3 linked regions of the Drosophila melanogaster genome follow. The protein of the gene in region 3 interacts with the protein of the main gene of each other region in a pairwise test. Each region holds a gene or a part of one and is shown on either strand. Other genes may lie near its edges.

Evidence for each region.
Region 1: the proteins of Cpr47Ef (region 3) and Eno interact in a two-hybrid assay, tested with the Drosophila melanogaster proteins (one large-scale study listed by BioGRID).
Region 2: the proteins of Cpr47Ef (region 3) and CG15580 interact in a two-hybrid assay, tested with the Drosophila melanogaster proteins (one large-scale study listed by BioGRID).

Annotation. Positions count from the first base shown.
Region 1 is NT_033779.5:1,727,502-1,731,255, forward strand, and holds the start of Eno (enolase), read right to left. Parts: upstream 2,136-3,754; 5' UTR 2,027-2,135; coding exon of another isoform or gene 1,328-2,026; exon of another isoform or gene 1,231-1,327; intron 963-1,230; exon of another isoform or gene 802-962; intron 732-801; 5' UTR 553-731; intron 380-552; 5' UTR 333-379; coding exon 145-332; exon of another isoform or gene 1-144. Other genes in the region: Rrp40 (ribosomal RNA processing 40), read left to right, coding at 1,328-2,026; CG31937 (uncharacterized protein), read left to right, coding at 2,483-3,448. UniProt on the Drosophila melanogaster protein: Enzyme of the glycolytic pathway. Glycolysis is essential in glial cells but not in neurons; neurons rely on the citric acid cycle for their energy needs, and on lactate and alanine secreted into the hemolymph by glial cells to fuel it.
Region 2 is NT_033777.3:6,055,547-6,059,300, forward strand, and holds the start of CG15580 (uncharacterized protein), read right to left. Parts: upstream 1,991-3,754; 5' UTR 1,945-1,990; coding exon 1,634-1,944; intron 1,509-1,633; coding exon 663-1,508; intron 442-662; coding exon 1-441.
Region 3 is NT_033778.4:11,270,785-11,274,538, reverse strand, and holds the start of Cpr47Ef (cuticular protein 47Ef), read left to right. Parts: upstream 1-1,963; 5' UTR 1,964-2,147; coding exon 2,148-2,162; intron 2,163-3,754. Other genes in the region: TpnC47D (troponin C at 47D), read left to right, coding at 397-425.

The sequences.
Region 1 (3,754 bases), on a different chromosome or scaffold from region 3:
GCGCGGATATCGCTCGCAAAAAACGCTCGATTTTCAAGCCCTTTCGATTGGGGTGATCTTTGTGAAGTTCGCAGATAAAACAATTAAATATTTTCCCTAAGCTGGATGCACAAGCACACACCAAGAGTCTAGCAATATACATACCAAGTACTTTTGCGGATCTGCACAAATTTAAATCCAGATGAGAGCTGGCTGACTGCTGATTTGCTTCTGAAACGCGGCGCAACGTTTGCCGATTTATTCTGGGGAATTCTGGGGAGAGGCCAGCGCAGACGCAGAAACTTCATGCTAGTGGTGGAAGTCCTCAAGAAAACTGAAGCGGTCCAAGACATGGCTTGAATGTGTAAAAGACGGCGGCGAAAGTGCTACCAATTTGTATCTTGATAAAGGAGTAAAAAATATCATTTAAAATATATATTTTAGTTACCTTACATGAAACTATAGCTCTGTTGCAAGCTATATGATAAATTTAATATTCATAAATTTTAAAAGCTCAGCTTAGGCGATGTATTTTTGCCCATCTCTAAGTGTGGAAAAGAGAGGGACACTTACATTTACTCTCCTTTTATATGTATGCGTTTCCAGGTGCTCGCCGGTTTTCAGTGTGGGGGTGCGCTTTCCCTTTTTTGTTGTTTTCCCTGGTACGTTTCCTATATTTTTTGGGGAAAATTGACCTTCGCACAAGGTTAGAGTAATCGGGATCCACACGTAGCTGTGGATTGCATGTCTATCTACATAATAATAAATGCTCTCGTTAATAAAGCATAAACAATCAAATGGCGTCAAGAGAAGTGTAACAACCAATGATAATGAAATGTTCCCGTGGTTTCTGGACAATCGGGTCATTCAAAGTCACATACTTGTGGTTAGTCACGCTTTTTAGCTGCCATAAATTAGAACAAATAAATGCAAAGCGGATTTTAACAAATCGTACGATTATGCTTATAGCAGCACAGCTGATCGGGAAAAAATTGCATATGTGTTGGTTAACATTGCCGCCCACACGCTGTTAGCTCTTTAAAACTTTCTTTGCATTTTTAAGATCATTCAGTAATATAGAACAATTACAATTTGACTAAATATAATTTTTCTGTTACTTTTTTAAGTTCATCTTAATAATTAAAATCGTAAGCATTTTGAAAATAATAAAATAAGAAGGGGCAAAAATAATTTGAATATTTATGTTCTTTACAACTACTGTTAAATTTAACTTTAAGACCAGGGCTGACAATGGCAGTGTTGGAAAGTCCTCGACTTGACCATATGTTTTGAAAGACACACGCGGATTTTTTGTTTGGAGTTTTCAAATCGTAAAAGCAACATTAAAATGAGCGCGACCAGCACAATAGTTATGCCCGGTGAGCGAATTGCGGCCATTGAGGAGCTGGCCAAGAGCAAGCGGGTGATACTCGGACCGGGACTGCGGCGTCTGGATGACACGGTGGTGGCTAGCAAGGCGGGCCCACTTCGACACAAGGAACCCGGCACCTTCTGGGTGGACAACTACCAGAGAAGGTACATCCCGGCACGCGGGGATCTCATTCTGGGCATTGTGCGAGCCAAGGCGGGCGATCTGTACCGCGTGGACATCGGAGCAACGGACACAGCCTCCATATCGTATCTCGCCTTTGAGGCGGCCAGCAAGAAGAATCGCCCGGATCTGATCCCCGGTGATCTGATTTACGCGAGAGTCCTGAATGCAAGCGCGGACATTGAACCGGAGCTGGTCTGCGTCAACTCGGTGGGCAAAAGTGGCAAACTGGGCGTCCTCACCGATGGATTCTTCTTCAAGTGCAGCCTGAATCTGGGAAGGATGCTGCTGCGGGAAAACTGCCCTGTTCTCGCCGCTCTTACCCGGGAACTGCCCTACGAGATCGCTGTGGGAGTCAACGGCAGGATATGGTTGAAGGCCCATTCCCTGAAAGAAACCGTGGCCCTCGCCAATGCCATTTCAGCGCTGGAGCAATCGGGATGTGCGGAAATCGACAAAATATGTGGCAATCTCGGAGACTTCCTGCAGGCCTAGGATTAGTTCTTAGTTTACTTACTTTTATATAAAAAGAAATGGTTAGCCAAACTGATGGGGTTGAATTTTGATGTGAATGTTGGCGCAAAGGCAGTGTGTTGGAAGCCCTGATTCGTTTACGTAAAAAAACTATCAGAGATGAGCAGATGGAAGCGTTTTTCGTATCTTGGATTATGCTCTACATGTTCTCTCAAGAAAGATAGTACTACCCTTACCTAGCTACCAAAAGGTATTTAAATAATATAGCATCATTCAAAAACCAAGTATAAGGGTTTTATGTCAGATAAGGTGACTACTTTCCGCAGTCACTGCGTCACCTCTGGTGCCCACCAACAGCTGATCGATCAGACCCGCTCGCAGTGATTTCTGTGTGGCCAAGAACAGGTTTCAGTGCCTTCCGTTGCGGCAGAGGACAAAGGTTTCTCCGACCCAGCCGTGCCATACAGAGCCAACGAGATGAGCTTCCTGGAGTTTCTGCTGCTCCTGCTCGTGCTGTACTATGTCGTGTACGTGCTCCTCTGGATCCTGCTCGACTGCAATGTGGCCCTGTGGTACAAGTCCCGTTTCGGAGTCTCGCTGTCGTCGATGCGCGGACAGGTGGTTTGGATAACTGGTGCCTCGAGCGGAATTGGCCGCGCTTTGGCGCTCAGCTTGGCCAGGCATGGAGTGAAATTGGTGCTAAGTGCCCGGCGACTGGAGCAATTGGAGCAAGTGCAAGAGGAATGCCTAGCTGCAGCTCGCGGACTGCTGGCCACCAAGGACGTGCTGGTCATTCAAATGGACATGCTCGATCTCGACGAGCATAAGACGCATCTCAACACGGTGCTCAATCACTTTCATCGACTGGATGTCCTTGTCAATAATGCTGGCCGATCCCAGCGAGCCAGTTGGACCGAAGTCGAGATCGAGGTGGACCGGGAGCTGTTCGAACTGGATGTCTTTGCGGTGGTCCACCTCAGCCGCCTGGTGGTGCGCTATTTCGTGGAGCAGAACGGCGGTAGAGGACACATCGCTGCCACCTCCAGCATCGCCGGCTTCAGTCCAGTGCCATTTTCACCCACCTACTGTGCCGCCAAGCACGCCCTTAACGCCTACTTGCTCTCCCTGAAAGTGGAGATGCGCAAGCTGGATGTGTCGCTCTTCGCACCGGGACCCATAGCCACCGATTTCCTGCAGGAGGCCTTCACTGGCTCGCAGGGCGGAAAGGTGGGTCTGAGTACGGCCAATCAGAAACGGATGACGGCCCAGAGATGTGGCGATCTGTTCGCCGTTGCCTTGGCCAATAAGATGGATCTCACCTGGTGCGGCCTCTTTCCCGTCAACCTCTTGGCCTACTGCGCCCGGAATCCCACGCTGAGCAAGATTCTGGCTCAATTGATGACCGAGAAGACGCTGAACAAGATTCGCGAGGGCAAACTGTGAGAACAACCCCGGTGTGCCTCGCCCCTTCCCTATTCCTGCTCCAAACGGCTCTCAGTCATCTTTTATACTGTTGTATAATTCTTAACTATATACTAAAATATATAAATATGTGCACAAGATTAAGTTGAGTGTGCGTTTCAATCGCGATAATCTTCACAGGCACAGTGGGATTCTACAGTTCCTCCCATTCAATTGGTGAGCAATATTGTGGTAAGCTAATAATCAATTAAGATTTATGAATTCTAAAATATTCTAGTTAACTTAAGTCATTAACCAGTAATTTAGTAATCTATCATCTGGTTCAGA
Region 2 (3,754 bases), on a different chromosome or scaffold from region 3:
GTGTTGATCCCCGAAATGTTGAGGGCCCACACATGGGGGGTTCCGATAATACACGTTATGAGCGAATGCAGGGCCAATTCATTAAGCGGATTGTGAGCCAGGCCCAGATACTCCAAAACCCCCACTTGCGATTGGCTCAACGCCTCGCCCAGCACAATTGCACAATTGGCGCCCAATTTGTTGTGTTCCAGCTGGATACTGCGGTACATCAAAGGGCGCTTTAGCAAATAGGCCAGGCCTTCGCTGCACTCATCCGTCATTTGGTCATAACCAAAATCCACCTCATCAAGGGTGTCTAAGTTCTGAAGGGCACGGGTCAGGATACGAAACTTCTTCATACTCAGGCGACTGTTTCGAAGCCTGAAGGTCTTGAGGCTCGGTAAGTATTTCAGACCTTTGCTAAGACGAACCATATCACTGTCTGAGAACTTCATATAACGGCTGTAAGGTACAAGTTAAGTTAAGTTTAAGCTAGCAATTTTAATTTAAATGCTGGTGGTAGGCGATGCAGCTGTAGACTCTTGGCGCTTTTAGAACTCTACTTCACATGTATTTATTTGGTTCCATTTATCTCAGAGAAAACATGTTATACAAATCGTGTACAGCACGTTTCACTTCTTCGATGTTGTTTCTTACCATAACATTCTAATTTAAGAGCTTACCTTTGATAGTCTTTTACATCAGGTGGTCCCAAAAACTCCAGCGTCAGAGACATCATATTTTCAAAATATCGTACAAATCCCAGATCAATGTGATGACAATGGTCCTCCGGATAGTCATACCGCTTGATCCGCTCCAGCAGCAGCTGCTTGTTGCGCTTGTCCGGTTTTGTGTCCTCGTCATCACCTTCTTCTGGAGCAACGTTTATGCTGAACACGTCTCGAATGGGCGGTTCCTTCTTCTTTTTCTTCTTTTTCTTGCCCGATTGATCCGCATTCTTCAAGGCGTCCAGTTTCTCCTGGCGCTTCCTCTTGCGCTCCTTGCGATCCTCCCGTTTCCTAGCAATGGCATCCCGAGCCTGCTGGCGGTTGGCGTTGCGCAGATGTCGCGCATTCCGGCGAATTGTGTCCTCGTTCTCGGTTTCCGCACGCCAGAAAGTAATAGCTGCCTCGCTGCTGGAACTACTAGACTTGTGCTCCTCCTCGCCCTCGTCCATTTCCGTATCCGGCTCATCGCTAGATATCTCCTCCTCGTCGGATGACTCCGAGGATATATCCTCTTCAGGCTCGCTCTCCAAGTGCTTAATGAAGGCATAGTCGGGCAGAGCTTGCAGCTTGCGGATGTGCATGGAGTTGACATACTGCCAAACAATTTCAGCCAACTGAGCCAGCCTTCTCTGCGGCTTCACGTTCACAGGACATGATTCAACCTGCTCCACAAACTTCCGGCTCACACCCTCAGCCTTCCAGTCGAACTCGTTCCAGCGCTTCAGGTGCAACGTTTTGTCCAAAGTCTTGCTTAGTACGACGCGTCGCCAAAATCGTTGATCCTCGATCAAATAGCAATCTCTTTGAAATATATATAAAGTTATTAGGGTTTGTAACCATAGTAAATAACGATATAAAGTTAGTGGCGTCAAATGTTAAATTATAGGTTATGTAATGAAAATACTTGTATCCGTTTCGTTACATACCTCAAAGGCAGCTCCACATCCAGTGCGTCGTAAAATATCCTCATAAGCTGGGGACTCGCCTGCAAAGTTGGAGATATGCCTCGAATGCCCAGCTTGGCCAGACTCTTTACGCTCAGATTGACTAAAGTGTTCAAGTTTCCCTCTATAAAGGCCTCCGCAAAAATCTCGCGATTCCGTTCGCTGTATAGGTTCAAGGTCTGATGAGAGGGCTTAAAAAGCTCATATGTGGCCAGAAGGAGGGGATCGGTGGGAGCCCGGAATTTCTGAGCATAGTGCGGTTGCACAACCTCCTCATCATCTTCAAAGTCCATATGGAGTTATTTTCGAGTATGTTTGTTTGTGCGTTGAAAGTCTTTTTTTTTGAAGTTTGTTTCTGAAAGTGATCGATAAGTATAACATGGTTTTAACCCATGTGTTCCAGTGCACCTTAATACATTTATGGAAGTGCCGTTTGTCTATCTTCATACTCCAATGAACATGTTTTATGTTTTAGTTATCTCGCACCTGCCAAACGTACTTCCTCATTAAAAACTGTCCGGTTTTCATTTAAGACACTCTAAATCCCGACCCGAGTGCGTAACAAATGTTTACAACGGCTAATTTAAGAAAACTCGCCTAAGATATTTTCCACTTACGGCGCTCTTTAAGCGTTTGCTAATATTTGCTGCTAATGTCTCGCAAGCACTTGCCAAGCACTCGAAGCAAATTTAAATTAAGCTAACCTAATTGAGAAGCGAAGAGCAGTTTCTTTTTGTGGCCAGCCCCGCTTCGCCCGCCCCGTTCCATTCCGTTTTGGCCAATATTCAGCGCTTTGTTTTGATGGCGAAGCTGCCAGGAGCTTCACCTTGCCGGCTATTTTTCTACCTAATGAAATAAAAATAGATGTTGTTAGAGCTGCTCGCTGAGTGTGCTCGTCCTGTCCGGGTGCCTTTGTGCCTGGATCGGAGATGGCCCCCAGTTTGGAAGTGGTTTCCATAGTGCATGTAGCTGCTCCTGCCAACAAAGACGCTGCACTTAAGAAAACCAAACGACTTTGTATCAATTCTTGTGACCAGGACATATAAAATATTTATATTTTTAATGCATATTTATTATTATTTAATTATAGTGGTACTGTTGATAAGCTATAATATTTTCCCGGAAGAGCTGTTACTTCCTACCTATGTGGGCTATATTCCAGGATGTATCATATAATAAAATGTTTAGTTTTAAAGTTGTAAGGAAATAATTTGGCACGGTGTGCACCTATAGCATTCCTGGCTCTGCAAAGCTTTGTGAATATGCTCAACTTGGAGTATTTCTTCAGAGCAAGTGGAGGAGCCCCAGGTCCCCAGCTCCCAGTACAAATTAAGTGCATGCCAGGACGAAATTCGCCATCCAGCCCACCACTACACACAACACAACCACCGACATCGTCGTTGGTCCTTTTCTGTGAACGACAACTGCATTGCTAAGTGGAAGTTCGACCATGACTTTTGCTTTCGCTTCGTCAATCACCTTTTTATCTGGAAGGACATTACCAAGCCAGCTCAACTCGGATTCGGTCTTACCAACTTGTCCTTCCTCGCATGTCCTTCTCGGACGTGAATGTATGTGTGTATGTGTGTGCCCCAAAATTTATTACAACCTTTGGGAATTCTTTTAAGTAGTTGCTCGATTCAAAATAATTTTCCATTTATCACCGTGATAACAAAACAGTTTTCCCCCAGCCGCAAACCAGAGCGAAAATGGCAAAATAACATCAGAAGCGCGGACATTATGAGTGGGTCGGTGTTAGGTGGAGAAAACTTCACTGCGTGGATGGAGTGTGGATGGGGGCTTGGGGACGGAGGCGTGGCAATGGCTTGGCCAAAATAAAGTGCTCTTCGCAAATCTCGCTGCCGTTGTAGTCGTCCTGGGAGTTGAGCTGAAGACTGGCTGCGGTCGTTAGGGAGTCCGACTTGTCCGACTGGCTCTGATGATAAATGCCGGGCAGCAGGTGATTTAAAATAATTTCGGCCAGCGCGCGAAAAGTATATGTTGCCGGCGCTGTTGTTTTCAAATTTTTGAAATTTACGAGCTGCCGTTCGTCTCACGGCAGAGTTTTGCCTTTCCCCTGAGGCGAAAAGACCAAAAAGTTGG
Region 3 (3,754 bases):
AAGATCTTGGATTCCTTGGCGCGCTGCCATGGTATTTTCCACACAAATTATATCAATTTGTTGCGGTGGAGAACCCCTACCCCTCCCCACTAACACCACCATCCCACCAACGAGGGGAGACGCCCTTGTGGTGCTTTATTTATAGTTCTTTAGATCTTTACACAGAAACAAGCAGATCACTTTGCCCCAGATTCTAAGGGGCATTTCACTATTCCTAAAACAAAATCCGTCCATATTTTCCGCCTTTTATAATTGTTCCGATTGGTGTACCAGTTTAAAAAGAAACAAATTTGTATTATGAGGTTTTGGTCCAATTTCCACTTGTATTAGTACACAAACCATATTTTAGTTATCAACAATAATAATAATTAATATTATTTTGTATTTAATTTCCAGAATTCATGGAGATGATGACTGGCGAGTAAGCATTGTGGACCCAACGTATCTCATAATTGTCTACCCCCCAACACCCGAGGCTTGAATAAACGTTTTGTATTTTATTTCTACGATTGAGTAATCATAATTACGCTATAAATAATCCGCTCGTTCAGGAACCGATTGAGTAGAAAAACCCAAAGCGCGGCAAACATTCTATGGCTGCAGTGCATCTGCATCCGAGTTGAGTCATCTTAATTGCCAATTGCCACCCTCTGGCGTGCGGATTATTATTAAATTTCAATGTTTGTGCAATGGGCTGGGAGTGGGCGTGGCCGCTCTGCTCATTTGTGTGTTAATTTGGCAAGGCCATTCGGCGTATGAGTGATGCATGTTGCGCATACGCAACGTGGCCAGATGCATGCGGAGTTCTTTGTTTCAATCTTTCCGCTATTACTTGCGGCAGTGCGTGCACATTCCGTTTGCCACTTGACTGGCGTTCTGGTCCGCACAGCTGTGACCATCCCAAGCAGAATAAGGCCCACTGACAACCTGCTAGATTTTTGCCTTTCCAAACAGCCAATGTAGTATATCATAGCTATGCATGCAGGCTGGCAAATGTCAATGAGCATTCTCCTTGTTGCCAAAAGATGTCAAGCATTTACGCTAAACTTGGCCGCCGCGACATGCAGTGAGTTTGTTTTCCCAAATTCAGCGAAAAGAAGCAACTGCCCTTTCTGAAAAGTTAGCGAAAAAAAAGGAGAAGGGGCTTGGGGCAGATCGATGTGGATGGGTTGGGGTTTGGATGTTGCCACCAAGTGGAGCAACTTGTTTTGCGCAATGCTTAGTCTTTCGGCCGGAGGGTGTCGATATTAGTGGTATTTATTACCGCTTCGAATCCAGTTTTCAGTTTTTACCCAATCATTAGGTGAAAGGTCACAGACTGGACCTGGACGCCCTGTGAAAGAGCTGAAAATGTGGCGGATTGTGTTGGGTGTCAGATTTATTGACATCCGCCTGGGCAGACTTCTCAATATGCGATTCTTGACACCGAGCGCATTAAAACGGTTTCCCAAACGTGCAATTCAATGGAGATGAAGCTGAATGATGATGATGCGCTCGAGCGTTGAGCGTTTCGATTGGATTCCAATTTACGAGCACCACCAGCAGCAGTTGCTTGCTTGCTAATTTTTACCCACTAACCGAGGAGAGATGTGGCTGAGAGCGTTTGTTTAACAAGACAAGGTACATTGAGTAAACGAGATGCCGCCGTTGAGACAATAGTCAAAATGCATGGGCTTGCGGATGAGGATGCGGGGGCACCACCACCTCCTCCTCCCTTTTTCGTGCGATTGTTTTCTGCCCCAGCTGGGGACGGAGCCTCAGCTAGCACCACCACCATCACCACCACAGCTGCACACGATTGCAATAAATGCCATAAAGTATCAAAATCTCAGCACTCGCTCAGCACCGAGCTCCAAGCTGCAAGCGGCAAGCTCCGGCTGCAGTTTTCGTTCATTCCATTCCATTTGATTGCATTTGGCGCCAAACCAAGTATAAAAGCTGGAGAACTTGGGCTGCGATCGGCACACAAGTACCGTGACATTCGAGGAGCCACAACACGACACGCGGAGGCACTGCATCGCTGGTGCGGCAAAGGACTTACGTGGATTAACCCAGCTTTGTGGATAAATTAAGCAGTGGATAAATTGTGGGTGCGCCAAGGATTCTTCTTCTTAATCCTCGATCGAAACAATCAAAAGATTGCTGTCATGGCTCTTAAGTGGGTAAGTTCAGTGAAAGAGGAAAGTAACTTTGGGTTAGAAAATTCAAAAGATCCAAGTGTTCTAATGAAGAGTCCTTTGAAACTCCATATGCTGTTGTGGTTAGAAATTATTGTAGAGCTTTACTAATTTTTCCCGAAAAGTATCCTTCTTGAGATAATGACCTAGATTCAAAAATATATTTCAATGTTTGAATATAATATTCATATTTATATTCATATTTTCCGTTTTTATTCTTTTCGGATTTTTTACATTCATTACATTTTTACATTTTACATTCGAATGCAAAGATCTTAATGCTTCAAATTTAATTAAATTGATTTCATTACCCAATTTAATTTAAATGAAAGTAAAGTTACGAATTTTACCTTAGAATAAAGACATTCAATTATTTTAGTCTAGGGAATTGTCTCATCAGAAATCTGTATTAAATTGGCATAGGAATATTCTTATTCATCAAGAGTTTATAACTTTTCAGGAAACTTTGATTTAGTTAATTATTTAATCTCAACTTGGCAACTCATAAAATTCCGCGAAAAAGAACATGCCTAAACAATAGGCCACTGGAGTGTCCCATCTTGGATATTTTAGCACAGCCAAGGGTTTCCCCATTGCACTTAGCATATCCGATTGTCTTGAAAAGATCGAGTAATCCCCGTGAAACGCATAAATTAACAGCCCATTTGCAATCGGAGATGGTGGATGGCACGCAAAGTTGCCCAAGATGGTTTGGTCGTGGCCGATCCGCCCCGCCTCCAAAGCAGATCATCGAAATGGAAGCAGTGGCGACCCAATTGGCAGCCCATTTGCAATAACCGCAATTATATTTGCGGTTGCGAAACGCTGTCGAAGATGTCTGCTAGGTGGTCACGAACTCCAAGAGGCTCTCACAGACTCCTCAAGATATTCCGGCCCAAGGGGCAGGCGTTGCTTGTTTCGGTTGCATGTGCCACAGTCGCCGGATGAGTCAGTGTGGCAAATGTCAGAATTTCCACAATATTACATTATTACACTGCCCGGCTGTGGCGACAAGTGAGCTCATCATCGTGCCAATCGATGGAGCTGTTAGGTTTATGGCCCAATGGAATTCGTAAACGGTTTAAACTTCAACTTGACACTCGCTGGTCCGCTCCGCTTAGCCAACCTTCCCAGCCAGCAATTCTCTGTGGCACTCTCGGTTCACACGCTGCTGCATCTTCAGACGTCTTCTGTCTAACAAGAAGTCCATAAATATCATAGTTCGCCTCAGGCTGAGACAATGATGAGCCAGCCCGATGTTGATACTATAGTCAAGAGTCCCCGCTGCACTTGCAGCCTTAATGGGCGACGACGATCGGTTGCAACAATGGAAAACGTGAGCGGATCGGATTGCGTCGTTCTGTCAATGGACAAATGCTTCATTGATGAAATGGCCGACATTTGGCCACACTCTTGACCCCTTTGGAGGTTCCCAGCGGCGGGGTCATGATACCCACTTGGCCGAGATGTGTATCAGGGCTTAATTAACAGCAGAAACAATTCAAGGTTCTTCTTGTAATTTGAAGTTTGGAAAAAGCTTATCGTTTATTTTTGGAACGAACCATTGCTGTTTAACT